Ovis aries: one gene and its partners. The protein of the gene in region 1 interacts with the protein of each later gene in a pairwise test. Links are inferred from orthologs where the notes say so. Each region holds a gene or a part of one and is shown in the gene's direction. Other genes may lie near its edges. The genes, in order: RAB3IP, PLOD3 and TRAPPC6A.

Region 1 (5,538 bases):
CCTGCATACAGGATTCTCAAGAGGCAGGTCAGATGGTCTTGTATTCTCATCTCTTTCAGAATTTTCCACAGCTTATTGTGATCCACACAGTCAAAGGCTTTGGCATAGTCAATAAAGCAGAGATAGATGTTTTTCTGGAACTCTCTTCCTTTTTCCATGATCCATCAGATGTTGGCAATTTGATCTCTGGTTCCTCTGTCTTTTCTAAAACCAGCTTGAACATCAGGAAGTTCACGGTTCACGTACTGCTGAAGCCTGGCTTGGAGAACTTTAAGCATGACTTTACTAGCATGTGAAATAAGTGCAATTGTGCGGTAGTTTGAGCATTCTTTGGCATTGCCTTTCTTTGGGATTGGAATGAAAACTGACCTTTTCGGGTCCTGCTGCCACTGCTGAGTTTTCCAAATTTGCTGGGATATTTAGTGCAGCACTTTCACAGCATCATCTTTGAGGCTTTGAAATAGCTCAACTGGAATTCCATCACCTCCACTAGCTTTGTTCGTAGTGATGCTTTCTAAGGCCCACTTGACTTCACATGCCAGGATGTCTGGCTCTAGGCAAGTGATCACACTGTCATGATTATCTTGGTCATGAAGATCTTTTTTGTACAGTTCTTCTGTGTATTCTTGCCATTTCTTAATATCTTCTGCTTCTGTTCAGTCCTTACCATTTCTGTCCTTTGTCGAGCCCATCTTTGCATGAAATATTCCCTTGGTATGTCTGATTTTTTTGAAGAGATCGCTAGTGTTTCCCATTCTGTTGTTTTCCTCTATTTCTTTGCATTGATTGCTGATGAAGGCTTTCTTATCTTTTCTTGCTATTCTTTGGAACTCTGCATTCAGATGCTTATGTCTTTCCTTTTCTCCTTTGCTTTTCACTTCTCTTCTTTTCACAGCTATTTGTAAGGCCTCCTCAGAGAGCCATTTTGCTTTTTTGCATTTCTTTTTCTTGGAGATGGTCTTGATCCCTGTCTCCTGTACAATGTCACGAACCTCAGTCCATAGTTCATTAGGCGCTCTGTCTATCGGATCTAGCCCCTGAAATCTATTTCTCACTTCCACTGTATAGTCATAAGGGATTTGATTTAGGTCATACCTGAATGGTTTAGTGGTTTTCCCTACTTTCGTCAATTTAAGTCTGAATTTGTCCATAAGGAGTTCATGTTCTGAGCCACAGTCAGCCCCTTGTCTTGTTTTTGCTGACTGTATAGAGCTTCTCCATCTTTGGCTGCAAAGAATATAATCAGTCTGATTTCGCTGTTGACCGTCTGGTGATGTCCACATGTAGAGTCTTCTCTTGTGTTGTTGGAAGAGGGTGTTTGCTATGACCAGTGCATTCTCTTCGCAAAATTCTATTAGCCTTTGCCCTGCTTCATTCTATATTCCAAGGCCAAATTTGCCTGTTACTCCAGGTGTTTCTTGACTTCCTACTTTTGCATTCTACTCCCTTACAATGAAAAGGACATCTTTTGTGGGTGTTAGTTCTAAAAGGTCTTGTAGGTCTTCATAGAATGGTTCAACTTCAGCTTCTTCAATGTTACTGGTTGGGGCATAGACTTGGATTCCTGTGATATTGAATGGTTTGCCTTGGAAATGAACAGAGATCATTCGTTTTTGAGATTGTATCCAAGTACTGCATTTCAGACTCTTTTGTTGACCATGATGGCTACTCCATTTCTTCTAAGGGATTCCTGCCCACGGTAGTAGATATAATGGTCATCTGAGTTAAATTCACCCAGTCCAGTCCATTTTAGTTCGCTGATTCCTAGAATGTTGATGTTCACTCTTGCCATCTCCTGTTTGACCACTTCCAATTTGCCTTGATTCATGGACCTAACATTCCAGGTTCCTATGCAGTATTGCTCTTTACAGCATCAGACCTTGCTTCTATCACCAGTCACATCCACAGCTGGGTATTGTTGCTCTTTACAGCATCAGACCTTGCTTCTATCACCAGTCACATCCACAGCTGGGTATTGTTTTTTCTTTGGCTCCATCCCTTCATTCTTTCTGGAGTTATTTCTCCATTTGTCTACAGCAGCATATTGGGGACCTGCTGACCTGGGGAGTTCCTCTTTCAGTATTGTATCATTTTGCCTTTTTATACTGTTCATGGAGTTCTCAAGGCAAGAATACTGAAGTGGTTTGCCTTTCCCTTCTCCAGTGGACCACATTCTCAGACTTCTGCACCATGACCTGCCCGTTGGGTGGCCCCACAGGGCATGGCTTAGTTTCATTGATTTTGACAAGGCTGTGGTCCTGGTGTGATTAGATTAACTAGTTTTCTGTGAGTGTGGTTTCAGTGTGTCTGCCCTCTGATGCCCTCTTGCAACACCTACCGTCTTACTTGGGTTTCTCTTATCTTGGATGAGGGGTATCTCCTCACCGCCGCCCCTCCTGACCTTGAACATGGAGTATCTCCTCTCAGCCCTCAGATTTAAGGCTTAGAGAAATGTAATGCATTATCCTGGGCCTATTGGGAACATTATTAGGATAATCAGTGAACTTTGATTGGGGCCTGTTGTTTAGATGGTAATAGTGATTAGTGTTAATGACATCTTGATTTTGGTGATGTGTTACTTAGGATATAGACACTGAGATGTTAAGAGGTAATGCTTATCATGTGTAAAATCTATTCTCAAATGGTTCTAAAATGTTAACAGTTTCATAATGTGGGTGAAATATATATATATATATATCTGCAACTTTTTGTAAATCTGAAATTATTTCAGAATAAAAGAAGAGAAAACACTGAGTCATCCAGTCACGTGTGACTTTCTTTGAAGCGGAACAGAATAGTTCATTGAACCTCATCTCTCTTACTCCGAGTGTGTGTATCTGTCTGTCTTTACTGCTGCTTCTTTTTCTAACCAAAGACACATATGATAGCAAAGTTAATATCAAGCAAATTTTTATTCATTCCTCATTGTTACTTATTAAATTACTTACTGTAACAGTGTTATCCATCACTTTCAAGTTTATTTTGAATCAGATCATTTTCCTTTTATAGTATTTATACTCTGAGGTCACTTATTAAATTTTAAATCACTGTAGTTTTTTTCCTGTTTAATTTTATATTTTATAATGGATTGTTAAACACATTCTATAAATATACATCTTACTTTAATTTTAAATGTCAGTATCTCAAAATATTTTTCTGCTTTTTAATGTAGGTGGTTCTATGATGAGGCTTTTGCTATGGCTAATGACCCCTTGGAAGGCTTCCATGAAGTGAACCTTGCTTCACCTACTTCTCCAGACCTCCTTGCTGTGTATGAACCAGGAACTCAAGAGCAGACTACCTCACCTAGCGTCATCTACCGGCCGCATCCTTCAGCTTTGTGCTCCACCCCTATCCAGGCTAATGCCTTAGATGTTTCTGACCTTCCTACACAACCTGTGTATTCCTCCCCAAGACGTTTAAATTGTGCTGAAATATCCAGTGGCAGGTAGGAGAGAATCAAGATGCTTGTTTTAGAGCATTGTATTAAACAAATGAATTTTGCTTGGTTAACTTATTTTAAGTTTTATTATTTTAGAAAATTTGAATAATATAAGGTTGTTTATGAAGAGTAATACATGTTAATGATTAAGAGCAGGGGTCGCAGACTTTTTATGTAAAGGGCCAAATAGCAAATATTTTAGGCTTTGTGGGCTACACAGTCTCTGTTTTGACTGCTGGACATGACTACTAAGGTGTAAAAGTAGTCATAAAAGTGAAGTCGCTCAGTCGTGTCCGACTCTTTGAAACCTTGTGGACTGTAGCCTGCCAGGCTCCTCCATCCATGGGATTTTCCAGGCAAGAATACTGGAGTGGGTTGCCATTTCCTTCTCCAAAAGTAGTCATAGGCAGTATGTAAATGGATAAGCGCCAGTAAAACTTTGTATGTGAACCTTGAATTTTGGATTTTATATAATTTTCTTGAGCCACAAAATATTACTATTTTGATTATTTTCAAGCATTTGAAAATGTAAAAATCAGTTTTGGCTTGTGGGCCTTCAGGGAACAGGTGGCAGGCTGGATTGATTCTGCATTTAGTTTGCAGACCCCTGTTCTAGAGTTTCACTATCGAATAGAACTTTCTGGCATGATGAAAATATTCTCTGTGGCTATGATGGCTATGAAGGACTTGAAATGTTGTTGCTTTGGGTCTGGACATACTATTAATTAGTTCTGGTGGTGAACAAATTGGATAATGGAGTTACAGGCATGTGTGTTTATGCCAGTTAATACTTGAGCACTTGCTGATGTTTGTTTGAACTCTCCTTTACAGCGTCCATGGTACAGATCCAGCACCTTGTTCTACCTCTGGAGTCACAGCTGGGTTACTTAAACTAACTACAAGAAAGGACAACTGTAGTGCAGAGAGGGAGTTTTTACAGGGTGCTACTATAACAGAAGCTTGTGATGGCAGTGATGATATTTTTGGGTTGAGTACTGATAGTCTGTCCCGCTTACGAAGCCCATCTGTTTTGGAAGTTAGAGAAAAGGGCTATGAAAGATTAAAAGAAGAACTTGCAAAAGCTCAGAGGGTAAGCAAAAATATATTTTATTCTTCTATATGTTACATTGAAAATGAATATTTGTCCATGGGGGCAACTCAAGTGAAATTATAGTTCTACACTTTTCCTTTGCATATGCGCAGTCTCAGTTGCTGTTGGGCAGCATTTAGGAATCTGGGAACTGGTCTCAATAGTAAAGAAGCTCATCCAAGAATACGAATGGAAGAAAAGAGACTCTAATTCTTTTTCCCCCCTTTCCTTCTCTTGCATTTTCTGTAGTGCAGATTTGGGGAGCTACATTCTGTGTGTGGATTTTTTTCCTCTCTACACGTGGTTGATTTTGTGATTATTTACTTGAAGCCATTAGATCCAAGTCATTATATTTTGAGGAATAGTTTTAGTAATAATTCAGCTAAATTTGAATGTTTTCTGTATCTTAACTTGGAGATTTGTCTTTTTTCATAATTTGTTCTATTTCTCACTTGCTCATCTTTTACATTTCTGATATTCCCAAATTTGTGACTAAATTTCTTTCTTTTTCTGAGTCTGTAATTAAACTTTAAAGGGACATTTGTAGCGCTAAGTATTTATACATTAGAGAAAAGGAAAAGTTTCAAATCAACAATCTAGTCTCCCACTTTAAGAAACTAGAAAAAGATGAGCAAAATAAAACCAGAAGCAAGCAGAAGGAAGAAAATAATAAAAAGCAGAAACAATGAAATTGGTAACATAAAAAGTAGAGAAAATGAACAAAACAAAGGCTGGTTCTTTAAAAAGATCAATAAAATTGACAAGCCTCTAACAAGACCAAAAAAAAAAACAAGAATAGAAGACACAATAGCAAGAATGAAATAGGGGATATCACTACAGACCCTGCAGATGTTAAAAGTAGTAAAGAAATAATACAAGCAGCTCTACGTATATGGATTTCACACTAAGGTGAAATGGACCAATTCACATTTAGAAAGTTGAGAAGATAGGGAAATCATTCTATAACATAATTTCCACATATTATGACATTTTACAAATATATATT
Region 2 (4,759 bases), on another chromosome or scaffold:
CCTAGCTGACCCCTGTGTGGGCCTCCAGGGGCGTGTGGAACGTGCCCTACATATCCCAGGCCTACGTGATCCGTGGGGAGACCCTGAGGATGGAGCTACCCCAGCGGGAGGTGTTCTCGGGCAGCGACACCGACCCAGACATGGCCTTCTGTAAGAGCCTTCGGGACAAGGTGAGGGGGCCTGGGGCTCCTGGTGGGGGCGCTGGGGGGCAGCACGCTGGCTCCCCATCGCCCTCCTTACACCCTCTGCCCACTGCCAGGGCATCTTCCTCCACCTCAGCAATCAGCATGAATTTGGCCGCCTCCTGGCCACCTCCCGGTATGACACGGACCACCTGCACCCTGACCTCTGGCAGATCTTTGACAACCCCCTGGTGAGTCGGCAGCCCCTGGCTCAGATGGTTCGGGCCTTCCCTGAAGGGGAATGCCACGCCCCGGCCCCATCACACGCGCGTGCGCACTGGGCAGGGTCGCCTGCCGCCTGGGCAGGGGTCCTCCCAGGTGGGAGCAAGTGGTGTGAAGAGGGCAAAGGTCAAGGAGCACCCCCCCACTCTCCCCTAGGACTGGAAGGAGCAGTATATTCACGAGAACTACAGTCGGGCCCTGGAAGGGGAGGGGCTCGTGGAACAGGTGAGCCCCGCTCAGGACCCCGGCCCAAGGGGATGGCCGCTGCCCCTGGGGCCCACCACCTGGATGAGGGGTTCTCCCAGGGTCCTTGCCCAGGTGCCTGGGGGTTTTCTGCTCAGGCAAGACAAAGGCAAGGGCTGAGTTGATAGGCATGCAGCCCCCAGCCCAACATTCATCCCAGTGGTCCTCCCTTGTCCGTTGGGTGTGTTGGTGTATGGGTGAAATGACATTTTTTAAAACGAGGTTGAAAACCACTGTCCCAGAACCCAGGGCTCCAGCAACCGTGCTGTCTGTGCCGAGTTCTGAGCACTGCTCTCACCTTCTCTGGCCGCATCGGTCCCCTTCCTGACTCCCCCGACCAGCCCATCCCCACGCTCAGCTGCCCGTCCCTCCACGTTCTCTCCTGTCCTGGCTTACCTTTCTGCTCCCTGCTTTCTGTCTCCTCCCACTGGCTGCCTGTCCCCTTCTGGAGCATCACCCAGCCCTGTTTTCTTCTTCCCCTGCCCCGTCCTGACTCAGCCCTGCCCAGACGTGTACTGGTTTCCTCTCCTGTCTGAGCAAATGTGCGATGAGCTGGTGGAGGAAATGGAACACTACGGCCAGTGGTCAGGAGGCCGGCATGAGGTGAGGGGCCTGGACCGCGGAGGAGGGGGCCCCCAGGAGGAGGGAGGGGGCATTTCCCTGATTGAGGGAAAATGGAATCTGGAGAGTGGGAACAGAGAGGGGGTCCCCGAGCAGGAAAAGGCAGACAGGGGGCACCTCTGTATTCTTTCATTCCACCGTGCATTCAAGAAATACTCCCTGGGCAGGTCCTTAGACACCAGCCCCTGACCTGGACGTGCAGGTGGAGCTCTGCCCTCCACAGCCCCACCTGCCGTCAGTAGCAGCAGGGAGCTAGCTTCTGAAGTCTGTGATGGACAGCCTCAGTGCTGCGGGAGTCACAGGTGGGAAACTTGACCCAGATGCGGGGGGACCGAGGGCTTCACAGAAGAGGTGACATCTTCGCTGAGACTTAGAGGAAGGAGGTGTGAGTCAGCTAAGACGTGGCGGAGACTTCCAGAAGGAGGGAGCGCAGACTTCCAAGGCCTGGGAGCAAGAGGAGGAGAAGTTGGCACCACTGCGTCAGCTCTGTACCCACAGGACTCTAGGCTGGCGGGAGGCTACGAGAACGTGCCCACTGTGGACATCCACATGAAACAGGTGGGCTACGAGGACCAGTGGCTACAGCTCCTGAGGACGTATGTGGGACCCATGACCGAGAGCCTGTTCCCCGGCTACCACACCAAGGTGGGCCACTGCACGCCACCCCTGCTCCCTCCTCCGCCTTCCCACACCTGTGCTGGCTGGACGGCTCCACACAATGCCTTTTGGCCTGTGAAACATTTAAATAGGCCCCATAGAGTGAGATCCGGGCTCCCCTGGTGGCTCAGATGGTAAAGAAGCCGCTTGTGATGCAGGAGACCTGGGTGGATCCCTGGGTCGGGTGGATCCCTGGGTCGGGAAGATCCCCTGGAGGCGAGCACGGCAGCCCACTCCAGTGTTCTTGTCTGGAGAATCCCATGGACAGAGGAGCCTGGCAGGCTGCAGTCCATGGGGTCGCAAAGAGTCAAACACACAGAGTGAGACCTTGCAGGAGGGAAGCTCTGGGGGAGCAGCCCCCAGGGAGCAGTGAGAACCCTCCCGGCCATCCCCCCAGCCTCTCCTCCCCTGTGCCCGCAGACCCGGGCGGTGATGAACTTCGTGGTCCGCTACCGACCGGATGAGCAGCCCTCTCTGCGGCCGCATCACGACTCATCCACCTTCACCCTCAATGTCGCCCTCAACCACAAGGGCCTGGATTATGAGGTGAGTCCCTACCCTCCACTCAGGGTTCCCCCGGGCCCCTCCACACACACAGACACACACGCACTCCCCTCCCCCAGGCCCTGTGTCCAGCCCCCTCACAGGCACGGTCACCTCCCTGCCCCTTGTCTGCCCTCGTCACATCTCCCAGTGACCTCTGGGGTCATATTCTGGACCCCTTCTGGGCTGGCTACCCCCTGTGTCCTGTGTCCCCCATCTGCCGATGCTCACCCCTCTTGTCCCCTCCCTCCCTGATGCCCAGTTTGGCCTCTCTCGCCTCGGGGCAGCTCACCACCCAGTCCCCACGTCTGCGCACTCTCCAGCCCCTTCCCCTCTCGTCTCTCCAGGGAGGTGGATGCCGCTTCCTGCGCTACGACTGTGTGATCTCGTCCCCCAGGAAGGGCTGGGGGCTCCTGCACCCGGGCCGTCTCACCCACTACCATGAGGGGCTGCCCACCACTCGGGGCACCCGCTACATCATGGTGTCCTTTGTCGACCCCTGACACTCAGCCACTCTGCCCAGCCTTCCGTGCCATCGTGCCTTCCCGCGCCCTGCCTCCTGGGGCGGGGTGGGTGTGGACTCCTCGCCTCCTGGGTATATGGGGTCTGTGTGCCTGGGACTGAATGTGTCGCCTCGCTGCCCACCACACGGCCCTCAGGAAGCTCAGGGAGCCCCCTGTCCTGTTCCCCGGTCCCCAAGGGCTCATGGGGACAGGACCTCTGGGGGTTCGCTACATGATAAATTATTGTTTCTCAGTCTCCCTCTCAATAAAGGAGGGTTTGTAATTCTTGAGCCCATTTATTGTTTCATTACCTGTGGACCCCTTGTCCATCCCACCACCCAGGGCAGAGGGGACACCGAGGGTGACCCCAAAGGAGAACTGAAAAGGAGAAATGACAGAAACGTGATATTAGAGCAGAGTGGGAATCTAGAAGCTTCCTTGTCATTCCAGAGCTCGGGAGGGGTGTGTTGGAGGCCAGACCCAGAGAAGGACTTCCCCTGTCAGGATGAGATGAGAGGCCCCCACTCCCGCACAGCCCCCAAACTGTCGTCCCCTATTCTCTCCTCACCTGATGGCATCTTCTCCCATGCAGAAAGGATGAGAGAGGCACAGCCCTGAGCTAGGGTCCAGGGATAGTGCTGGGACACGCATTGTAGGAGGGAAGACAGGGTGGAAACTTATTGAGAGCGCTTGGACCTCAGCTTTTAGTCACATGGTATCAGGAGAGGGGAATCTGGAGGGTGAACCCAAGAAAGCTTCCTGGAAGAAGGGGAAGGGAAGCAGCCTTGAAAAAAAAAAAAAGACCTCCTAGAGCTGGTTTTGCCTCTAGTCTCAAGCATCAAAAGCTTGCAGAGACCCCTGGAGGTACCCTGAGGACAGCAGAGCAGGCCCCTTTAGCCTGGTCCTCCCCAGCCTTACACCAGCTGCCTTCCTGTGTTGATCTCCCAATGTTCCCTGGCGGACGCCTTTTAAAAATCAAGCACCTGTCCTAGGACATTTCCAGCTTCTAACAGTCCACTTGCATCCACAGCTAAATTGTCCTTCCTTCCTCCTACCCAGATTCCCAGGAAAACTTCATGCATGAAACCATCCTTCCATCCTTCCTGGACCCCTGGGTGGGTCACCTTCCCACGTGGACTGAGCGTCTCTCTGGCTAGACTCTAAAGTTCATCTCACCCAGGCCCCCACCACCCTCATCACTTGCCCTGTGATGCGAGTGGGCTGAGCAGGGATAGGAGGAAATATCCCTCTTAACAGAAGGTCCCTGGTCAGTGAAGCTGCATAGGTGTGAGGCCAAGGACAGGGGCAGAAAGGGTGTGTCAGCCTAAGCCTATCCTGTCTCCACCCTTCATTCACAGAGCGTCTCCCATGCGCTGGGCACCCATCTTGACGGCTGCAGTGATGAGCACAATTTTTCTGTTGCTCACGGTGTGTGGGAGACTTTGATCAGAAAATTGCCATGATGGGAGACTTGCCTGGTGGTCCAGTGGTTAAGACTTTGCCTTCCAATGCAGTGGGTGTGGCTTTGATCCCGGACTGGGGAGCTAGGATCCCACATGCCTTATGGTCAAAAAAGCAGAATGTAAACAATAAAAGCAACATTGTAACAAATTCAATGAGGACCGTAAAAATGGTCCACGTTAAAAATCATGGTGATGGAGAGAAAGTATTCTGTGCCAGGAGAGAATGTGATGCGTGACAGAGGCTTCTGACAGTTGCGTGTCAGACTTCCGTAAAAGAAGTGACATTTAACGTGGCTCAGGACTTCCCTGGTGGTCCAGTAGTTAA
Region 3 (5,538 bases), on another chromosome or scaffold:
CGCCCTGCTGGCCTTATGCCCCCTCTCCCTCCCACCCCCAGTCTCTGCACTGCAGCCTCTTTCGAGGGCTGGGACCGTGGGGCCAACAGCAACAGCTGCTGTGCTGCGAGCTGCCGGTCAGCCACCCCTGGGAGATTGCGCCCCCCCCTTAACCCTGTCACCAGCTTGCCATCCCCACTAGGCACGGTGTGCGAGCTCTGGACGGGAGCTAGGAAGTGACCGCAGGATGAATGGGGGTGTCCTGGGAACACAGGTGCGCTGGGTCAAAGCGGAGCCCCGTCCGGCCCCCTCCAGGAGTTCCCCTGAGCAGGGAGGTGATGTAAGAGCAGCAGAGGCCTGGCGAGGGCTGGGCAGGGAACCAGGTGCTGAGACTCGCCCGCCCACAGAACAGAGCCCCTCCTTTGTGGGCTTTCCCTTTCCTTTCACCATCCCCAGCTCATCAGCAGGCTGACAGGTGCAGAGGCTGCAAATGGCGACAGTACCACTTCCCCAGCCCGACTCGGGGTGCTTGGCTCGCACTTATCCACTCCTTTAATCCTCACGAGGGCCCTGGGAAGGTCCTTGTTTTACACGGGACGACACTGAGGCACAGGGCAGCTGGCCACTGCCCCAGGCCCACAGCTGGTAAGGATCCGGACCCTGTACCCAGCCACCAGGCATGTGTTCCCCTCACTGCCCCTCACACCCGAGCTCAGACCTCGAACACCTTAGTCATCGAGTCAGCCTGCCCCCCCCGAGGCCAGCCCTGCCGTGCCGGAGGACAGCAGAGAGCACACGCCGGTGTCACGGGCAGGAAGCTGTGTCCTTCCCCAGACCCGGTTCCCACAGGAGGAAGGCAGAATGGTGGGCCAGGGTCTGGGTGTCACGTGGCCCAGCAGAGGAGGGGGCCATCACGCGAGGCACCTCTGCTCCGGCTCCCCACCCACTCCTGGCACCTCCCCTCAGCCGACGTCAGCCCTTGCCACTTCCCTGGGGCACGGACAGCTGCGAGTGTTGCCCTGGTCGCCTGCCCGTCAGCCACCTACATGCAGGAGCCGGACCTGCTCAGGTCCGAAGGTGCCTCTGGGAGGTCTGACCTAACCCCTCTGTGCCCCGGTCTCCAGATGTGAAACACAACCTACCTTATGGGGCTGTTAAACAAGGGGTCTGCACAAGGCAGCTGGCACAGCGTAGGCCCAGGTCCCGATTCCTCACTCGGCTCATTCAGCATGTTCCTCACACGCCCCCCGGTGTGTGCCTGGCCCCCCTGACTCCGTCTTGGCATTTCTGCTGCTCAGCGCTCTCCGGGTCACACAGATGGGCCACATACACAGGTCGGCTCTCCTCCAGCCACGCTCCAGGACACCTGGACAGACACCAAGTGCGGCCTCCTGCCGCTCAGTCCCCACGCCTCAGCACCCCCACCGCGGGACCCTGGCCTGGCCCGGCCCCCCGGAAGGCCACTTGGCCACCCCTGCCTCCCCTGAGCCCCTGCGGGTCCCTCCCAGGAGTCTCGGCTCATATTTAAGGCCTCATAATCACAGTTGACGTTTCATCCGCCTGCTGGCCCATCCGGGGGCCCACCCCTGTGGCCCCTCCACTGCAGCCCCCTTGCTCGCCATATGAGCCCCAGGGCAAGTCACCTTGAGTTTCTGGGGTGACGGGAGTGCTACCCCACAGGGCGTTTAAGGACGGACGCTGAAAGTACACTCAGGAAGTGATGGGAGTTGCAAGGAAAGACAACAGGTGAGGCTGAGCCTAGGCAGGACCCCCGTGTTTCCCGGAGTGAGGGCGAGCGGAGCCTGAGGGCCGGTGCGGTCTGTGGATCCAGCCTGCCACTCAGGAAGCCCTCTATCCTGGGTCTTGTCTCCCTGCACCAGCAGGGACACACAAGCCCCCCTCAGCTGCTATACCGGCTGGCTCCCGGCTGGAGGTGGCCGAGGGCCCCTGAGCCTCCCTTCCTTGGCCTTCTAGGGACAGAAGACCAGCTTGTTGGTCCTGGAGGGCATGGGCTTCCGTGTGGGCCAGGCCCTGGGCGAGAGGTGAGAGGCGGGCAGGACCTGCAGTGGGCTCCCTTCCTGGGCAAATGGGTGGGGAGGGTGCCTCGATCCAGACAGGATCCCAAGCCAGTCTCCTCCCTGTTCCTCACCCCGGGGCTCCCCCAGCCTGGCCCCCACAGTGTCTGCTGCTGCTCCCCCCCCAGGCTGCCCCGGGAAACGCTAGCCTTCAGGGAAGAGCTGGACATCCTCAAGTTCCTGTGCAAAGACCTGTGGGTGGCCGTGTTCCACAAGCAGATGGATAGCCTCCGCACCAACCACCAGGTGTGTGCCCCCCGGGCAGACAGCGGGCAGAGGCCGGAGCCCCGGGAACCCAGGGAGGGGACCCAGGCTCAGGGCAGTCACAGCAGGCTCAGCTCCCCTCGGGGCCTCCCCACAAGGCCCCCCAGGACAGGCCCCTCGCGGCTTGCGGCTGTGCCTCGGCCTGACGCGGCTTGTCTGCACCCGAGCCTCGTTCCCATTAGGCACCCACGCTGGGCCTGGCTGGTGGCCTGATGGCCTGGGCTGTATCTTCTCCCCACCGGGCACCCTGGAAATCGTGCAGCAGGGGCGTGGAGGGGAGGACACCAGGCCCTGGTCGGAGGGTCCACGGGTCCTCATATAGCCTCGAAGGACGGCCCAAGACCGACCACAGCCATTTTGTGGGAAGGGTCCTTCCGGACCTCAGGGTGGCGGTGCTGGGCCCTTGCCTCCCCTCCCTGCCCCCACCAGGAAGGTACAGGTGCCACATCGGCTCCCTGGGACCCTCCTCTGTCCCCAGGGGACCTACGTCCTGCAGGACAACAGCTTTCCCCTCCTCGTCCGGATGGCCTCGGGTCTACAGTACCTGGAGGAAGCACCCAAGGTACCGGGCGTGATTCCAGCCTGGGGCAGAGGCCTCTTCCCAAGCCCAGGACCCTGGGAGAGGGAGGCGGACCCATTCCACCCCGCTGTGAACGCTCAAGCCCACGTGGCCCCGGGGTGTTGGCCTCCCCCTGCTCTGCCCACGGTGACCTGTGTGCCCCGCCCCTAGTTCCTGGCCTTCACCTGCGGCCTCCTGCGTGGCACCCTCAGCACCCTGGGAGTCAAGAGCCTGGTCACCGCCTCCGTGGCAGCCCTGCCCGCCTGTGAGTTGGGGTGGGGGGGATCCCCCCTGCTCCCAGGGGCCGTGGAGGTGGGGCCGGGCCGCCCAGCCCCACTGCAGATGGGAATCTATGGCCCAGAGAGCTGAAGTCCCAGGCCCAGGCCACACAGGAGGTGCAGCCCATCCACGGCCCTGCCCCCGATGTCCTCCTAGACTGCTTCCCTGGGCGTGCCAGCCTGGCGGGGACAGCCGACGACAAGGACCTGGGCTAGTGTTTTCCAACACTCTTCCCAGTGCAAGAACCCAGGTGGACACAATAGGAGTCACCTGGGGATGGTGGGGTGGGCGGTGCTGGGCTGAGGAGCTCCAAAGGCAGCCAGTGTGAGGGGGTGTCCTCCTGACCCCGGGGCCCTGCTGGCCCACAGTGCCCGCCAAAGGACAAGCCGAGGCCCCACCCTTCCCTGGGGGCTGCCTGCGACCAGCCCTCCACGCACCCTTCCCTCGGGCGTCTTCCCCTCTGCCAGTCCCCAGGGCCACACATCATAGGGGACTGGGGCCCAAGCCGGCAGGATCTGAGCCACATGTGCCACTGAAACTGGGCCAGGTCCCTCCCCGACAACCTACGTGCCTGACCTGCTGCCTGCCCTTCGTGCCCCCAGCCACCCACACAGCCCTGGGGCACAGGCCAGGGGTGGGGCTAGGGCACCATCATCTCAGGCCAGCGAGGCAATGAGGTCCAACCAGGGCCACCCAGGCTGAGGGCACTGGGCCCGGGTGAACGGCTCAGAGCAGCTGGGGTGCCACCTCTCCCCTCCGGCCCCAGCCTCGAGCTCAGGCCAGCCCTTCTCTTCCAGGTAAATTCCAGGTGGTGATCCAGAAACCTTGAGGAGCCCCAGGTCCCACTCCCAGACGAGCTTCACAGCACCCTGGCCCAGAGAACCCCGCTGCTGCCTGTGCTGGGGGCTGGTGCTGGGGAGACGGGGTCCCCGCACTGCAGGGTGTCACAGATGCCCAAGAGATGGGTGTCAGAGGGAGGTGGGGGTGTCCCGGGGGCCAGGTGGTCCCCAAGGCATTCAGGGCCGGTGTGGAGGGGGTCTGCACCACACATGTCCCTCCACAGGGCAGGCGCTCAATAAAGGTTCTGTAAGTGGAACCAGACTCAGAGTGGAAAGCGGGGCGGTGGCGGGGGGGAGGTGCTGGGGGCAGGGGCAAAGCGACTGTGTGTCACGGGCCCAGTGTGGAGGTACCCCGTGGGGCTTCCTCCCCGCCGAGTCCCTTCCTCCCCGCCGAGTCCCTGTGGCTGGCCGCCTCCCGCCCCACATACCTGGCAGGGGAGGATGGCCCCCAGCACAGGCAGCCTTGCCAGCATGGACAAGTCTGGGGCTGCTCTCTGCTCAGCGGGGTCCAAAGAACGGACCTCTCCCTGGGAGCAAGGCCATTGGCCCCTGGAGTTGCTGCCAGGTGTGGGCTGGCCTGGGGGGGCCGCCAGGAACAAGGATAGGTGAGTGGGTGGGCCAGACACCCTCCACTCCCCTAACACACACACACACTCTATCGAATACACGCTTAACGTGCCTGGCGGATACGAGTCATACCCAGAACAATGGCGCCGCTGACTAGTCTCTGGGCAGTTCAGCCTCCGTGCCCACACCCCACCCCCTGCCACCACCTCCCGTGTTTACATTCATAGCATCTGGGGGCATCACCCATTTGGACTCTGCCGGGCTCTGCCACTCGCTGCCTGAGGTGGGTAAGTACCTCGGCCTCAGAGCTGTAACCTGAGGCTGGGATTGACCCGCATGGGAGGAGGAGGGGTCCCCTTGCCTAAGACCCCCCCAGGGGCTGGGGCTCCTCTGCCTGCATAGCGTCTGGTGCAGACATCGTATGCAGCCCCCTCCCCAGCACACACAGCCGAGCCCCGCAGTCCCCGGGTTGCCTCTGAGCCTTAGCACAGGCCTTTCCTGCCTGGCCCCCTCCCCAGACTCCTACTCCGGCAGCCTGCAGCCTCCGCTCCCCACCAAATCCCCTGCAGCAGCTGCTCACTTGCGCTTCCCCGTGGGTCCCTGGCTGGGGGCTGGCACTGTCCAGGATGAGTCCTAGATGAATCTCGGTCACTCAGCTAAACTCTGCAGGCAGGCGGGCAGGGGTGAGGGAGCGGGGGAAAGACCCAGGGCCAGCCCTGCCCTCAGGAAGCCCAGTGGCAGTCCAGAAGGAGCCCCCAGAGACCCTCCCACCCCTGACTCCGACACGCCAGCCTGGCCTCCTTGCTCAGGACAGGGGTAGAGTCCTGAGCTGGTGGAGGATGGGGAGGAAGAAGCTGCTGGGAGGCCTGGCGAAAAGGGAAGGAGACATAGCTGGGCTGCAGGGGGTGGCGTCTGGTCACTGCGCGCCAGTCGGTGTCCTCTCTCGTCCCGGGCGCTGCTTGGGGGTTGCCTCCCC

Evidence for each region.
Region 2: the proteins of RAB3IP (region 1) and PLOD3 interact in binary tests that used the Homo sapiens proteins (3 or more experiments, as listed by UniProt). The link is inferred for Ovis aries from reciprocal best matches to the Homo sapiens genes RAB3IP and PLOD3.
Region 3: the proteins of RAB3IP (region 1) and TRAPPC6A interact in binary tests that used the Homo sapiens proteins (3 or more experiments, as listed by UniProt). The two-hybrid records come from large-scale screens. The link is inferred for Ovis aries from reciprocal best matches to the Homo sapiens genes RAB3IP and TRAPPC6A.

Annotation. Positions count from the first base shown.
Region 1 is NC_056056.1:149,971,885-149,977,422, reverse strand, and holds part of RAB3IP (rab-3A-interacting protein), read left to right. Parts: intron 1-3,172; 5' UTR 3,173-3,197; coding exon 3,198-3,448; intron 3,449-4,273; coding exon 4,274-4,532; intron 4,533-5,538. UniProt on the Homo sapiens protein: Guanine nucleotide exchange factor (GEF) which may activate RAB8A and RAB8B. Promotes the exchange of GDP to GTP, converting inactive GDP-bound Rab proteins into their active GTP-bound form.
Region 2 is NC_056077.1:35,921,344-35,926,102, forward strand, and holds the end of PLOD3 (multifunctional procollagen lysine hydroxylase and glycosyltransferase LH3), read left to right. Parts: intron 1-28; coding exon 29-170; intron 171-259; coding exon 260-373; intron 374-560; coding exon 561-629; intron 630-1,145; coding exon 1,146-1,250; intron 1,251-1,766; coding exon 1,767-1,913; intron 1,914-2,345; coding exon 2,346-2,471; intron 2,472-2,815; coding exon 2,816-2,971; 3' UTR 2,972-3,261; downstream 3,262-4,759. UniProt on the Homo sapiens protein: Multifunctional enzyme that catalyzes a series of essential post-translational modifications on Lys residues in procollagen. Plays a redundant role in catalyzing the formation of hydroxylysine residues in -Xaa-Lys-Gly- sequences in collagens.
Region 3 is NC_056067.1:52,606,575-52,612,112, reverse strand, and holds the end of TRAPPC6A (trafficking protein particle complex subunit 6A), read left to right. Parts: intron 1-1,953; coding exon 1,954-2,021; intron 2,022-2,182; coding exon 2,183-2,300; intron 2,301-2,796; coding exon 2,797-2,880; intron 2,881-3,048; coding exon 3,049-3,142; intron 3,143-3,953; coding exon 3,954-3,985; 3' UTR 3,986-4,252; downstream 4,253-5,538. UniProt on the Homo sapiens protein: May play a role in vesicular transport during the biogenesis of melanosomes.